Linked DNA regions of Elephas maximus indicus. The protein of the gene in region 1 purifies or fractionates together with the protein of each later gene. This does not show direct contact. Links are inferred from orthologs where the notes say so. Each region holds a gene or a part of one and is shown on either strand. Other genes may lie near its edges.

Region 1 (7,990 bases):
AAACAGCCATGGCTCCTAACCACTGTACCACCAGGGCTCCAAAAGGATGATAAAAGCAGCTTTTTATAATAAGCATAAAAAAAAAAACCCCAGTGCCGTCGAGTCACAAGGCTCCCTCAAATCTGTTATGATTCCGATGATGGCACGCTTGGCTTCTCTCTAAAATAAAGAAGGCATTCTAATGAAACAAACAAAAAGTGTGTGACCTTTGCCAAATTATTAACTTTTCTAAGCCTCCATTTTCTCATCTACAAAATGGGAATATTACTAGTTCCCAGTGCATGAGTTTTCTGTGAGGATTAAAAAGGGTAATTTTGTAAGCTGCTTATTAGCACAATGCCGGGGGCATAGCAAGAACTCTCTCATTTTATTAAACAAACAAATGAGATGAAAACTACTGCAGAAACAAGAAAGGCACAAGGTTGGTATCTGTTGAAGCTGAGTGATAAGTCTACAAAAGCTTGTTTTTATGTTTCAAACTTTTCAAAATAAATATTATAATCAGTTAAAATAATTTTTTAAAAAGCTAACTGTACCAAGGATGAACCCTGAAAGCATCATGCTGAGTGAAATAAGTCAGTCACAAAAGGGCGCATACAGTTATGATGCCACTTATATGAAATATCAAGAATAACCAAGTGTCTAGAAACCAAAGTTTATCAGTAGCTACCAAGGGTGGGAGGAAGGAAGGCGGAAAAAGGGACGAAATGCTTAGGGAACACCGAGCTCTGTTAAGGGCGATGGTGTAACCTGGGGACACATTAAGGGCGATGGTTGAACAAAATAAGGAACATAACGGCACTGAACTGCACACGTGAAGACTGTTGCAAAGTCAAATGTTTTGTTACATGTATATTTATTTACTCCACACACAAAAAGCAATTACATACCTGAAACAGAAAACTAGCAGACTTCTTAAAGAACAGCTAAAAGAAATGATAAAATAAGAAACCGTCAAGCACTAGGAAAGGAGGAGGATCAATGGAAAGAGATGAAATATGAGTAAGCACAAAAGATGACCATAAGGAATAACTAAAGCAAAAATTATAAGATCATCTGATACGCAGACAATGATATTTAAAAATGGGGAAGGTAAAGGGATCCAAAGCCAAGTTGGGTTTCTGTACCTCACTCGAAGTGGTTGACGCCAGCAGATTGTGGTAAGTGAAATATATATACTGTAACACCCAAAAAACTATACAAAGTAAAAACTTCAGAGGTACTATAAATGAATCAAGATGGAAGCCTAAAAAATGTTGACATAATGCACAGGAAGGCAAGAAAAGAAAAAAAGAATGAGAAACAGGGGAAATAAATAGAAAACAAATAAAATGGTTTAAGGCCTGACATTTGGATATTACCTGAAATGTAGATGGTCTAAACACACTAATTAAAAGGCAGAGAACGGTAAAGTGGATAAAAAACATGACCCAACTACACGCTAATCAGAAGAAACTCACTTCGAATCCAACGATATAGGTAGGTTGAAAAAAAGCATAGAAAAAGATACACCAAGCAAATACTAATCCAAAAAAAGCAGAAACGGCTATATTAATATTACATAGAGTGGACTTCAGAGCAAAGAAAATTACTAGAGACAAAAAGAAACCTTACATAATAATAAAAGGATCAACTCACCAAAAAGACCCATCGATCCTAAACATGTATGCGCCAACCAAAAAAAAACCAATGGCGACCGTACACAACAGAGCCACAGAGCTTCAAAATACATGAAGCAAAAACCGACAGAGCTGAGAGGAGAAATAAACACACTCACAATCATATCTGAAGACTTCGACACCCTCCTCTCAGCAAGCGATTCCAGCACCAACTGCCACCGAGCTGACTGCAATCCATGGCAACCCCACGTGTGTCAGGGTAGAACTCTGCTCCACGGGATTTTCAATGACTGATTTTTTGGAAGTAGCTCGCCAGGGCTTTCCCCCAAGGCCCCTCTGGGTGGACTCCAACCTCCCACGTTTTAGTTAGCGGCCAAGCACATTGACTGTTTACACCACCCAGGGACTCCTGGCAACTGACACAACTACTATAAAGGAAACCATCGAGGACACAGGAGAGCTCAACAATATCATCGACCGACAGGACCTAACTGACACACACACAACACCTCAGCCAACGGTAGCACAACATACCTTCTCAAGTCTCCACGGAACATTTACCCTCTCTTGGGCCGAAACAGAAACCTCAACAAATCTAAAAAAACTGAAATCATACAGAGTATGCTTTCTGACCACAAGAGAATCAAACTAGGTATCAATTGCAAAGCCAACAGAAAAACCTCTAAACATTTGGAATTAAGAATACACTTCTAAACAATATGGATCAAACACGAAGTCTCAAAGAAATGTTTTTTAAAAAATATTTAGAACTGAATGGACATGAAAACAGAACACAGCAAGACAAGTGGGATGCAACTAAAGCAGCGCTGAGACGGAAATTTATAGACTTAAATGCTCATTCTAGGAAAGAGGGGAGGTCTCAATCAATAATCTAGGTTCCTGCATCGAGAAACTAGAAAAGAACAAAACAATCCTAAACAAGCAAAAAGAAGGAAATAAACACATGTGGATGTGTTCCGAGCTTCCAAAAATGGCAGGGCCAGGTTTCCACAGGCCTGTTGGAAAGTTACTTATCGTTACGCTCCATCATAAGGACAGTTACAGCAGGAACTACAGACTGCGGGGTTAGGAGGAGGTTAGGAAGGAGGTCTGGAAAAATTGGAAAAGTCAATTTCTAGACCTCAGGACAAAGAGGATAAGGCCAGAAGTCCTTCAGCTCACCATCGCTTGCCAGGTCCCATCCTATGTGGTCACCTTCTGAGCTCTATCCCACCCATCCTCGGTGACCCGAGGCAGGACAGGCAATTGTATAGTAGCCAGGAGACCTTCATGCCGACCTCCATCCTGTCGCCTCCTTCTCCTTAGTAAGTAAACTATGTACTTTCATTAAGGACTTCATCTCTCTGGTTCCAAGCCTCCTCTTCCTACTAAAACAGATGATTCTAGTTTCCCTACCTCATAAAACATTAAGGTCAAAGTGAGCTAATGGCTCATCAAAAGACCTAAGGCTAGAAATATGAAGAACTGATTTCCATACAGACAGGGACACAGTCAGTCTGGCAGGTATCACACCGTACTTGCTGAATGAATAAAAGACTGAATGAACTTCAGCATACTTACTTATAAAAGAAAAATGGTAACCACCTGTCTATCCCAACTGGTTCCTTCAAAAATCAGATTCTATGACAAATGCAACAAGTTATACCAACGCATGACGTTATCTCATAACTTAAAAACAGTGCCAGCAGGACATGCAACGTGGCATCTGGTCCACAGGCAACCTTTAAGAGTTCAAATCCCACTGTGAGTGACTCTAGGCAAATCATTTCATCTTTTGTTCTGAGCCTCTTTCCTTTCCTCATCTGTAAAATGAGAATGTGCTCAATCTCTTCAGTTTGCCCCTCCAACTCCACACCACCCTCCTCTCCCCTCCCTGCCCTGTGCCTTCCTGTGTGATCCACATCAACTGGGCTCTCTGGCCTTCAGTTGGGTTTGCTCAGTGGGAGACTAGCAGAGATCTGGAGGAAGTGAGGGAGATAAAAAGAGTTTTTCTTCTTCCACTTGCTTCCTTCCCCTACTGGGAAACCGCTGGCTGCACCCTTTGACCAAAGGTCTCAGCTCCTCTCAGATGCCAACCCCACACAACTATTCACACTACTTCAGGCCTAAAGGTGGACACCAAGTCCTGTTGTTACCAACTGTGGAATACTAAACCTTTGCTTCTTACTTGCCTTTACAAACACAGTAGTCCCTTTATGAACCTTTTCTTAAATTATCCTAATTTGAATGCACCATCTATTTCCTGCTGGGATCCTGGCTTATCCAAAAGATACCACCACCTACATCTCACAAGGTTGTTTTACACATTAGAGGTCATGTTCCTCGTGGGTGCTAGGCACAGGGCTAACATTACTGTTATGACCATTTTATGATGCAAGAACACTGCTCTTAATTTACAAATGAGAAAGCAAAGGATCAGAGAATTTAGGAAATTCGCCCAAGCACATACAGGTGTGGAACAGCTACAACGGGGGTTTGAGCCTCCAACTGAGTAGCCTCTATCTTTCCATTCCTATTTTCATCGTCGGATCAATATTTATTCGACTACAACATATTTCATCATCGTCGTCATTCCTACAGACAAATAGTGCTCTTACAATTAAAATTTACTTTACTGCTAGATGTAGTTTAACTGTGTGGTTAGTGGGAGTCCTGGAGTCGGTTCGAAGCTCAAAGCCTGACTCGCTACTTGCAGAACGTGTAATCTTGAGCCAGAGACTCCCCTCCACGAGCCTCAGTGTCCTCCCACGAAACGGGGACAACGCTACTGCCTTCACTGGTTCGCTGCGAGTATTCAATGGAATAATGCTTGCAAAGCGCTGGGCACGCAGCGAGCGCTCAAATAATGGAAATTGCAATGTTAAGTAACGGTTCTGCGGCCTTGGAGGCTTTACTGCCGCTGAGGATCAGGGCAGCATCTCTGCTCCAAGGGGCAGAGGAGCGGGCTAGGGCCTGGAGGCGGAGGGAGCCCGCTGCCCACCCCGGCGCCCACCTGCTCCTCCAGCCGCTCGATCTCCAGCTGGTTTTTCTCCTCCTCTTCGTCGTACTCCCACTCGTACTCCCCCGGGGAGCTCTCCGCTGAAGAAGCCATGGCGTACTCTTCATCTCCATCGCTCTCACTCACGCCTTCCTCCTGCGGATCCCACGCTGGCCCCACCGTCTTGTACGACGCAGCAGCCACAGCCCGCGATAACACCTTCCTCCTCGTCCTGGTTTCCTTAAGCTCATCCTCGTCTCCCTCGGCCTTGGGCCCAACTTTGGGCGCAGTCTTGGGCTCAGCCTCCGGCTCTGAAGCGGAGGATGCAGCTGCCGTCGCCATCTTGAGTCTCCAGTGACTTGGGTCCTTCGTTCCGCCGCCGAAGACTGGCTGAAGTACAAGCTGCCCGCGGCGCACGCCTGATCAAAACCCCGCCCTCTGGCCACCGAATGGGAAACTGCGAGCTTCGGATGATGGGAAAATCTCTAAATACACGCCATTCATATTAACTTTACATATTTGTAAAAGATCCTGTCAGAAAAACAATTCTTTAACATGGCATATATTCCGCCACAACTTCGGACAGAAGTTGGGTCTTTGGGCAGGAAGTGGAGGGCATAGAGGAAGTCATGAAATGAGCGTGATGACTGTAGTTAAGGTTTTGACGCCATTTTGAGAAGGTCAAAGGGACTCCTCGAATATATGCATTAATGCCTCTTGTGACCTGGCGCGTGGTTCAGTCACCTCAGCAACCGAGACACAAACGTAGTGAAAACTCCAAGTCCTTGGAGAAGGATCGATTGCGCTATTTATGAGAAAAATTCATTTCCCAAAGAGATTCCTCTCATTATGTAAGGACTGGTGCCTAATCCAAAACCAAGCCCTTTACCGAGTGGATTCTGACTCACAGCGACCCTAGAGGACAGAATAGAACTGCCCCATAAAGTTCCCGAAGAACACCTGGTGGATTCGAACTGCAGACCTTATGGTTAGCAGCCATAGATAGCACTTAGCCACTACACCACCAGGGTTTCCGGCTGGCACCTGATAGGACCGGTGCCTAGTAGGTGTTAAACGCACACATGAGTTTTCCGGTTTTATAAGATATTCTGCAAATCAATATGAATTATTTCCTAAGCATTTATTTAGAAACTCTTAACTGTCAAGTATTACCATATAAATTTTGATAGTTTACTGTTGTATAGAGAGAAATAGATAAAGAATATTTTTAAATAGGTATATACTTTTTTAATTCAGGGCATGGTGTTCATTTCCTCCTTAAACTCCCATTTTTGAGCTAGGAAACTATTGTTTCTTTATTGCCTTTCTCCCTCGTTAGTAAGCTTAGTTGGGACAGAAATTACATTTGTTTTGCTTTTCGTTGGCTCGCCAGAGACTAGTATAACGCCTTGACAAGTAGGAGGTGCTCAATACATATTTGCTGAATGGGCGAAACAATTTTATTTGAATTAATGCAAAAAAAAAAAAAAAAAAGAGACGCTTAGAGAGCTGATGTCATTCGTCTAGGGTGACAACCAAAAACCAAAAAAACCAGACCCAGTGCCGTCGAGTCGATTCTGACTCATAGGGACCCTATAAGACAGAGCAGAACCGAAGAGCGCCTGGTGGATTCGAACTGCCGGCCCTTTGATTAGCATCCGTAGCACTTAACCACTACGCCACCAGGGTTTCCAGGGTGACAACCAGGAAGGGGCAAAATCAGGACTCTAACCCAGGGTTGTTCGAATCCCAATTGTACCTAACTCTAAGCGACCTCAGACAAGTTATTAAACCGCTCGAACCTCAGCGTCCTTAGCTGCAAAAAAGGATGAGAGAGCGGACTGGGTGACCTTGTGTGCTGCATTAAGTCGGGTCCCTCACCCCAGCTTTAGGTCCTTTCCCATCCAGAACGCAGCACCTAGGACTCGCTTTCGTGGTACTTGGACCTTCCCGCTCCCAGCCCCGCCAGCCCCCGGAGAGGTGTGGTCAAGGTGGGGACAAAGCACGAACCGCACGGGGCCGAAGGGCGCAGGCGCGAAGGCGCGGTGACGTAAGAGGGGGCGCGCCCTAAGCGAAGCCCGTCGCTCGCTGCAGGGCGAGCCACGCCCCCGGCCTCGCTCTTGGCTGGCGCAGGCGCGACCCCGCAAGATGGCGGCGGCTGGAGCGGGTCGGCTGCGCCGGGCGGCGTCGGCCCTGCTGCTCCGGAGTCCTCGCCTGCCACCCCGGGAGCTGTCGGCCCCGGCCCGGCTTTATCACAAGAAGGTAGGGGCAAGCATAGGGTGCGCGGGGGACGAACGGGCGAGGATCGCCGAGGAGACGAAGGTGTCCGGAGGCGTGGGGGAGGATCGGGTTGGGGCCGGCGACCGGGGGACTGCGCGGCCTGGAGCTTCCTGCAGCCCGAGGTCCGGGGATCCCCCGGCCCTGGGTGGAGGGACTGTCTCCTCCCACACCTTTGCCTCAACTAACTTTCTCTCGTTTCGCAATGGAAATAAAAGTAATAGCCGCTGCTTGTCGAGTGGCGACTTCCAAAGGGCCTTACTGCTCGTTGCTATTTTGTGCGTCACAGCCCTTAAACTTCCCTAACAGGACTCTTCTGAGTTCTTGGACCTGTTATGACTTGTCAGCCTGACGCTAGGGCACGAGCTCCTCTTCAGCCAGGCCACTGCCCTGGCTAAGTGACCTTGGGCAAGTCACTGCCCCTCGCTGGACCTCATTCTTTTCATTTGTAAGTTGGGAATCTTAGCAGTCCCTTCCTACAAGAGAGAATGCGTGTAGAGTTCTCTGCATGGTACCTGGCACATAGGCCCAACACACGGAGACCATCGATGATGCTGCTGCTATTAGTATTTTAATAAAATGATCTCAAGCGCTATGGCGGACCTCACAGCGATGACCAAGATCTATCTGCTTGTGGAGCCCATAGCCTCGTAGTGGAGTCAGGCACATGACCAACAATCAGTCACAATGTCCTTGTCTTTGTTTTTTTCTGTTGGGGGGTGGTGTGCGTGCGTAGATTGCAGCCCTTGCCTTCTGGAAGCTTAACGTCCCCTAAAGATGAGACTCTTCTGCTCGGGAAACAACTAAAGATCGCTGGAAATCAACATGGGGCAGAAGTCCAGAGTGGATTTTATCTTGTGGGTCCTTGGGCTTAGAGTCAAAATCAGTGGTTGTATAGGCAAAGGGGAGGAGACTGGAAGATCAGGATAGTTACTGCTGTGCTAGCTGGGAAACAAGCCTCAAGATTACTAAAGCCTACTGTGTCGGACTGAATGGGTATTTATACTGTTCTGGCTTCACCACGTTTGTCAAGGGCTAGGGCACTCTCCTAGACCCAGGGAGAGGTTTTGTTGACAGCCCATGGTGACTGAACTTG
Region 2 (7,990 bases), on another chromosome or scaffold:
ATACTTTAGAAGAACATTTTAAGAACTCTCTTTGAAGGAGCATTTGGTATAAGGCAGGACCATTCTGGACTGTATTCAGGCCTCTTAACAATTAGAAATACAGACAAATCTCAGTCAATAAAGAGAAGACTTTGGTTGGTTCTTGAAGAATAGTAACACGAAATGTATAGATTTGCCTTATTTTAAGCAAATATAAGAAAAATCATATTTACAATACAAATGAATATGAGTCTATAAACTATGCTTGAAAGACTTTATTTCCAAAAAATCTCTGCATATAGCAAGGCAGTACACTTAATAATTTTAACCTGCCTTAAAAGGGTATACTTTACTTACACATTGTCACCTCTTACGATGTATAATCCTAATACCACTTGTTCTACTCCCTGTGAAGAGCTGAATACTCGTTCATGACTTTCATCCAAAATCAAATTAATGGTTTGGTCAAAACCTTTCAGAGTTCCCTATGAAGAAAACAGCCAAAAGAAAAAAAAAAAAATCTGATTTATTTAAATGTACAAAATTCAACCATACAACCATTTTAGTTGTCAGGCAACCCAACAGAAGTATCCATTTTAAATATATACCCACTGTAAAATAACATATCTTTTTTATAGCCAACAGGGCATAAAACACACCTCTTGGTTGTTAAGAGAGGGGGAAAAAAACACCACCACACATATGACTGATAAGCAGAGCTACTGAGAGTTACTAAGGATACTACGTACCAGTGTGATCATCTCAAAGAAGTAGAGTAAATGCCCATGTAGTCCAGGAGCTAACTTTCTAAGGACACACACTACAACAAGTAAAATTTAAGGGCAAAGGATTTATAAATGAGGGTCTCACATATACCAGCTACAGCAGAGTAACAACATCACTGTATGCTCTGTACTAGGCCCTGGGCTAAACACATTGTGTTCACTATCTCAGCTAATCTCTACCCTTTGAGGTAGATATAATTATCCCCATTTCAGAGAAAGAAAACTGAGGCACAGAGAGGTTAAGTAATCTCTCAAGGTCTTATGGGGAGTACGTAGCAAAGCTACTAGGAAGATTGCTGAACCATTATACTGCTATAAACATGCAAATATAATTTCCCGTTTTTTAGAGATTCAAATCACTCCCATAAATATACACAAACTACAACTGATGGTAAATGAATACTTACTATATCCCAGAGTGTTCTATGTGCCTCACATGTATTTACCTTATAATTCTCCCAATAACCAAGTAAGGTAAATTCTAATATGACTATAATGATAAGCACCAGAACTTGATGGAAATAACAGGGAAAAGTTTTATGGAAAAAGGCTGATTGTGAACAGGGGAAGACAAGGGCCTTGGACAACAGAGTAATTCACATGCTATTCAAGTTTCACTATTCAACTGTTTCATGTTCTGAAAATCAAAATACATAAAATCAAAATGAAATAAAGAGAAAATGATAACCTAGAATATGGAAGAGAAACAAAATATGGAGTATTGAACTATACTAGAGAATGGAGCCCTGGTGGCACAGCAGTTCTTAACAGCTCGGCTGCTAACCAAAAGGTCGGCAGTTCACCCTTAAATCCACCAGCAGCTCCTTACAAATCCTAAGGGGTAGTTCTATACTGTCGCTGAGTCAGAATCCACTCGATGGCAACGGGTTTGCATTTTCTGGTTTAGTTGGCAAATAGGTGTTATCAAAAATATCACAAATACCCATACATAACTTCTTGGTTTGGTTTTACATTTAATTATTCCATCAAGTAAAACCATGTGTTAAATACAGGACTACTGAAATTTAGTACTCAAGATGCTCTTTATAGCTTTCCTTTTATAAAATGAAAATAATTTTCCAATTTATTGTCTACTCTGTTAACAAAATTAGAAACACTTAAACTTGAGGTTTTCATAAAATAAAAAATTAATTGCAAATATTTGTTAATTGCAATAGGTTTCCTGAAGGGCAATGATGAGATTAAAATACTTCAAATGGCCTTTATTTGACAAAATATACAATACAGCATGCCTAAGAAAACCAGGATTGTTCCCTTGGTAAAGAAAATATGCCAACTGTCCTTGACTTTGGAGTCAGACTAAACTTAAATCCCAGTTTGGTTCTACCACTTATTATCTATGTGACTCTGGGAAACTAACTTACCTTTTCTTAGCTTGGTTCCTAACCTAGCATAAAGCAGCAATAATTCTTCACAGGGTTGTACTGAAGATTAAATAACATAACCTATGTAAAGTGCCTGGAACATAATACACATTTAATAAGTGGTGAAGTCTAGCACTTTGACTAGTGATAGTCACTTAATGACCCACTGAGAAAAAATCATATGGATTAAACACAGAAACAAAAATGAGACCGCAGAACAAGAAAATAAGGGGTTAAATTATATGAAGTAAATTAGAAAAGGTTAGAAAATAGAGAAAAGGTTACACCAAACCCAAACCTGTTGCAGTCTAGTAGATTCCGACTCATACAGACCCTATAGGGCAGAGTAGAACTGCCCCATAAGATTTCCAAGGCTGTAATCTTTACGGTAGCAGACTGCCACATCCTTCTCCCATGGAGTGGCTGGTGGGTTTGAACCACCAACCTTTCAGTTAGCAGGCAAGCACTTAACCACTGTGCCACCAGGGCTCCTTGGAGAAAGGTTAGCAGACTTACAACCTTTTTGAAAGCAAACACAGTATCAATTATAAATGAAGATAAAATAATTAAGTAGCCAAGTATCATGGGATAAATTCCTCAAATCAAATTCCAAAAATCAACATCAGCCATAAGAAAGTTATAGCTTTGTTATACGAGTTAAATTAGCAACTGAGGAATGTTTTCCAGAATCAGATCAAGGAGAGAATCCAAGATTTTTCTAGAATGAAAAGAGGTTATTGTGACAAAAAGGAACCCTGGTGCCACAACAGTTAAGTGCTTGGCTGCTAACTGAAAGGTTGGCTGTCCTAACCCACCCAGCCGCTCTGTAGGAGAAAAGACCTGGTGGCCTGCTTTCATAAAGATTCCATGAAGATTAAACCCTATGGGCACTTCTGCTCTGTCACATGGGGTCACTATGAGTCAAAAATCAACTCCACAGCACCTAACAACAATATTGTGACAAAAGCATAAATAAGATGAAATAGTCAGTCATATATCGTCCTACAGAAAATAGGTTATATAACCTAGGAATAGTTATAGGCTACACAAACAAGCCTTAAATGTTCATTATGCTGTATATATGTAGTATCTAAGTCATAAAAAGAACAACTTCTAAGTATACACAAAATTTCAAAAAACTTTTGATTCACATGGCAGCTGTCCAAGCTCTGAACGGGAAGGAAATAAAATATCGAAGAACAAGACAAATATGTGACCATAAGATACATATAGACATCTGCATACTAGACTAGAAGCTCCCTGATGGGAAGAATCGATTCATCCTAGGTCCTAGTAGAAGCTAGTAGGTAATGCGCACTCGATGTTTATTAACGGAAAAAAAATACAGATGAGCAGCTATTTATCAAAGACATCAGGGCAAAGAGTTAGATCATAAGAAAAGTGCAATGCAGGTATACTCTGGTTCCTACACATTAGATGTCAGAGGTTCCACATAAAAATTATTTTACTACCAATAGTTTACAAGGCAGAGAATGAAAATGCTGCATACTTACCACAATCATTCTCCCATCGGATGTAATAACAGCAACAGTTCCTGATAACTGAATCAAGGAAAGCATTTCTTAGGAAATGCTAACCGAAAACTTAGAATCTGGTAAACGCACAGTTCCAATTACTAAGAAAAGGGCGACAGAATTAAAAATAACTATTCAACATGGCCATTAAATACACAACATTAAGGACTTAAAATCTGTAGCTTTTTTTCAATCCTGTCTTCGAGATAACTACACACACACACACACAAAAGTAACAGAAAAAGAAAATTCCTTTTTCTATGTGATAAGCATCTCAAAACAGCTGGGGTATTTGGTATTCGCTTTTACTGGGAAATTTCAATTTTGAACAAGACATTCCCCACTTTCTTAGCCCTATTTCTTCATTTGTAGAATAAAAATTGTATGGCTGCTAAATCAGTCAATTTCAAGCATGTTAAGACACTGTCTTCCAGGTTTCTGGAATACAAAGGATACTATAACCAATGTCATAAGACACCAATAGGCTTGCATCATTAAAAGCCTTCAGTATTTAACTTCTGTTCACAATTTGTGCATGAATACACGATGTGCTGTTTCTGTCCTGAGACATTAAAACAGTAACATTTGTATCTGGTTCTTTACGAGTTTCGGACCATGAGGACAATTCATTGAAAAAGCAAGCATTGTTTCCATCCTAGCAACAAGGAAGATGAGCCTTCAAGTGGTAAAGCAGCAGAAATTCAATTTATGGACCATCTTTAAACTTCTGCTATCTCAACAATGAGCATGCCTGTCAATAAAACAAGTGCACAGATTTACAAGACCCTCGTCGCCACTATGACAACCGCTCACCTTATTTGAAACTTGAACGTGTGGGCCCTGGGGGAATAATAAGGCTGAATCAATAGCGGAATTCTATAGAGGCAGAGAAAAGTTCAGGATAATTACACTGGATTTACTTTACTTTAGGCCGGAATTAAAACACACCTCGGACTCGAGGCAGGAGCGGCGGGCTCGAGCCCCAGCGCAAGACTGGCTGGTCGCGGGTCCTTATCCCCCTCACCGGCACCCGGGGCCCCGTAGTAGCCAGGCGTCCCAACCCACCAGGAATCCCGAACCCCGGCCTCTCAAGCCCCGACACCACTCCGGTGCGGACACGTGCCTCGCCGCGGCGGCCTCCGGAGGATACGGTTAATGTAGTTCTCCAAAGCGGACGTCATGATGTCTGGCCCAGGAACTCCGGGCTACACGGCAGCTCCAGCAACAGCAGAAGCCAAAAATGCCCGCCACCAACTGGCCGCGGCTCGCGCCCACTGACGGCAGCAAATATCGCGAGAGTTGCTGGCGCCGTATTTGCCGTGGGTCAGAAATTGACAGAAACTGGGCCGCATATCAGAGAGCAGGAGCTGTGACGAACTGGTGCGCGTGCGCAGTGTGTTTCCGTGGTTCTTCCGGGCGGCGATCCCGGAAGCCACGGGAGACAAAAGCAAACAGGAGGCGGAAAAAAGGCAGGTGCCTGTAGGCGGGGTAAGAGGGAGTCAGGAGTGAAAGGTAGTGTGGTAGAAGTTACTAGGAAAAACTATTAGAAAAGACAGGAAAGGCGGGAGAGAACGAAATACGATGTTTTGAGTGTAAATGAAGAAGATAGGTAAGTGCTGTTGTCTTAAGAAATAGGGGTACGGGGAATTGGGATCCCTAGCTGATTTCTGCAGCACGGACTTAAAATGAAATATAAAAAAAGATAAATGGACCAAGAAAAAGTTGCACACGTTGGAGCCATAATGTTGTACATCTCTGGAGAAGACGATAAGAAAAAGCATGTTCACATATTCTCCATGTGCCTCTAAGAACTCCATTGGAGGCATCGTGATTCACTTTAACAAACTGAATCCAAACAAGTGAACGTGTGTGAGCAACTCCTAGGAAATAAATGTTTAAGCTTCTAGCAAGCCAGGAGGTCTCCCTGTCCTCAGGATAAAATGACTAAATAAAAGGCAAGTCCGCACCACCAATGAAGACTAGTCAAGAAAAGAGGTATATTATAAATGTGCACCAAATTGGGTTCTAGTCCTGGCTCTGCTACTGAATTGTGTGTCCTTATACAAGTCACTTCAGCTCTTCTGGACCTGTTTCCTCATCATTATGAGGTATCATTATTAAATAGTTTTTCAAAAATATACCATGCGCCACCTTTTAAAATGAATAATGCATGGAGCTTTTCATCCCTTGAAATGTGCTTATGTTTTGAAAATGTTTATTAACACTACATAAAGACTAACTGCCGTGGAGTCAGTTCCAACTCGTAGCTGCCCTGTAGGACAGAGTAGAACTGTGTCATAGGGCTTCCAATGCTGTAAATCCTACGGAAGCCGACTGCCACATCTACAGACTGCCACATCATCATCCGAGGCTGGTGAGTTCCTTCCACATTTGCACACTGCCACATCTTTCTTCCACAGAGCAGTAATTCTGCAGCCAAGCGCTTAACCACTGCGCAACCAGGGGCTCCTTAACACTATATAGTAACACTATAAAGTAATGATGTTAGATCCTTCCACAGCTTTCATTTTGAATATTTCAGGATGATAATGGGAAACATAATTCTTTCCATTTTATTATACTGTGGTGCTCTCAGAAGGGCTTGAAATTAGAAAAGGATCAATACACAAAACACCAGTGGGAGCTCTTTCCCCTTTTCACAAAATATCTTTTTGATTTCAGTTAGGCTTGTGATTTCTTAACTGAAGAAGTATAAATGTGAAATAACTCTTGCGAAATGAGCAATTTTCCTCTGAAAAGTCAAGCATCTGTTTTCATTAGAGCATACCCACAAACTTACCTACAAATCACTCCCCAATGGTTAATATTTTATAAACTGAAACTTACTCTGACCTGTTTGAAACCACATACAGTCAGGAATTACGTAGTGAATATTCCTGTATTTTCTAGGGGGGAAAAATGTATCATCCATAAATAAAAAATGAAGATATTGTGTGATTTGCAAATGTTAGGCATCAAATTAAAAGAAAAATGAAGAACTACTAGTTATTGAAGTATGATTAAGGAGTTTTTAAAAAATAAACTATATCCCACCTTTTTAAAATGAATAATGCATGGAACTTCTCATCCCCTGGAGTGTTGCTTATGTTTTGACATTTATTAACACCATATAGTAATTTATAGAATTAATTTAATCATAAACACATTACATTTTAAGTCTATGATCTTGTGCAGTTTTCACTAAATTAATATGCCAGATAAATAACAGATGTGCCATGTTTATGGAGCATCAGGAAATTTATCTGAAAATTTTTTACACGTGTCTTGTAACTGCTACATTTTCTGTAGCTCCCTATGATCATACATGTGGAGAGAAAGCCTATGGGTAAAGAAATGCCCATTTATTGAGACTTTACAAATGAGTTATATGTAGATGCAAACAGTACATAAATATTTTATCTAAATTAGCCTTATGCATCACTCTTGACTTGCAGCCAACATGGCACCATAGGTAGAAGCACCAGGCCACCCCTCCCCACAACAAAGACCCAAAAAACTAAGTAAAACAGAGACAGACATCATTGCTGGAACCTGAAGTGTCAAATGAAGACATAAAGAACTCAGCCAAACACCGAATGGAATAAGAAACTGAGGAGAGATACCTGGAAGGTTCCCTATCAGCTAACACAGCACAGATCCGCCATCTTGGACTCCTGTCAGGGATTGCCGGACAGGCAGTACGGCAGTGCAGCTTCACAGAGCTCCTAGCAGCAGACAGAAAACCCGATAACCAGCGATACACTCTTTCCCACCCCCACATCCTCTCCCCACTGCCCTACCTCCAAGCTTCCTGGCTGGCTGCGGTGGCTTGGCTGGCTGGGGAGTGCCGCATCCGGGCCACTTGGGTTCACCCCACCTTTATCAGAGATCCGTGGGCAGGGAGTATGAGAAAGCATCTTCACGAAGTTCCCAGCAGGAGACAGAGTACCCGGTAACAAACAACATACGCTTTCCTAACGCCCACCCTTCCCCCGCTCCCCCCGCCCCCTTACTCCCAGGCGCAGTTTTTTGGCAGGAGGCAACTGCTTTGGCCCTGGGCCGCATGGATTCCCCCCGCCCACAGTGGCCAGCCCCCTGAGCTCTTGTTCCTTCTTTCCATTTCTTTTGGTGTCTTCCATGCCTCCCACCACCTACCCCTGGTTTCTCTCAAGCACCTGGCTGTGTGTGCCATCTTTGCTTTTCTTGAAAGGCTGTGAAGCCCTGCTCAACTGGGGAACCACTCCCTTGGCCCATAACACTGTGCTGTTGGGATCCCTGGGGCTGCATTTTTTTTTTCTTGTTTTGT

The links. The genes of interacting proteins can lie anywhere in the genome.
Region 2: the proteins of SART3 (region 1) and LSM8 purify together in Homo sapiens (affinity purification with mass spectrometry; 4 studies listed by BioGRID and IntAct, counting the BioPlex papers as one, with this or other methods). This does not show direct contact. The link is inferred for Elephas maximus indicus from reciprocal best matches to the Homo sapiens genes SART3 and LSM8.

What each region holds. Positions count from the first base shown.
Region 1 is NC_064840.1:19,107,947-19,115,936, forward strand, and holds the start of SART3 (squamous cell carcinoma antigen recognized by T-cells 3), read right to left. Parts: upstream 4,971-7,990; 5' UTR 4,960-4,970; coding exon 4,633-4,959; intron 1-4,632. Other genes in the region: iron-sulfur cluster assembly enzyme ISCU, read left to right, coding at 6,766-6,879. UniProt on the Homo sapiens protein: U6 snRNP-binding protein that functions as a recycling factor of the splicing machinery. Promotes the initial reassembly of U4 and U6 snRNPs following their ejection from the spliceosome during its maturation.
Region 2 is NC_064826.1:31,451,773-31,459,762, forward strand, and holds the start of LSM8 (LSM8 homolog, U6 small nuclear RNA associated), read right to left. Parts: upstream 4,977-7,990; 5' UTR 4,866-4,976; coding exon 4,835-4,865; intron 3,705-4,834; coding exon 3,664-3,704; intron 465-3,663; coding exon 337-464; intron 1-336. UniProt on the Homo sapiens protein: Plays a role in pre-mRNA splicing as component of the U4/U6-U5 tri-snRNP complex that is involved in spliceosome assembly, and as component of the precatalytic spliceosome (spliceosome B complex).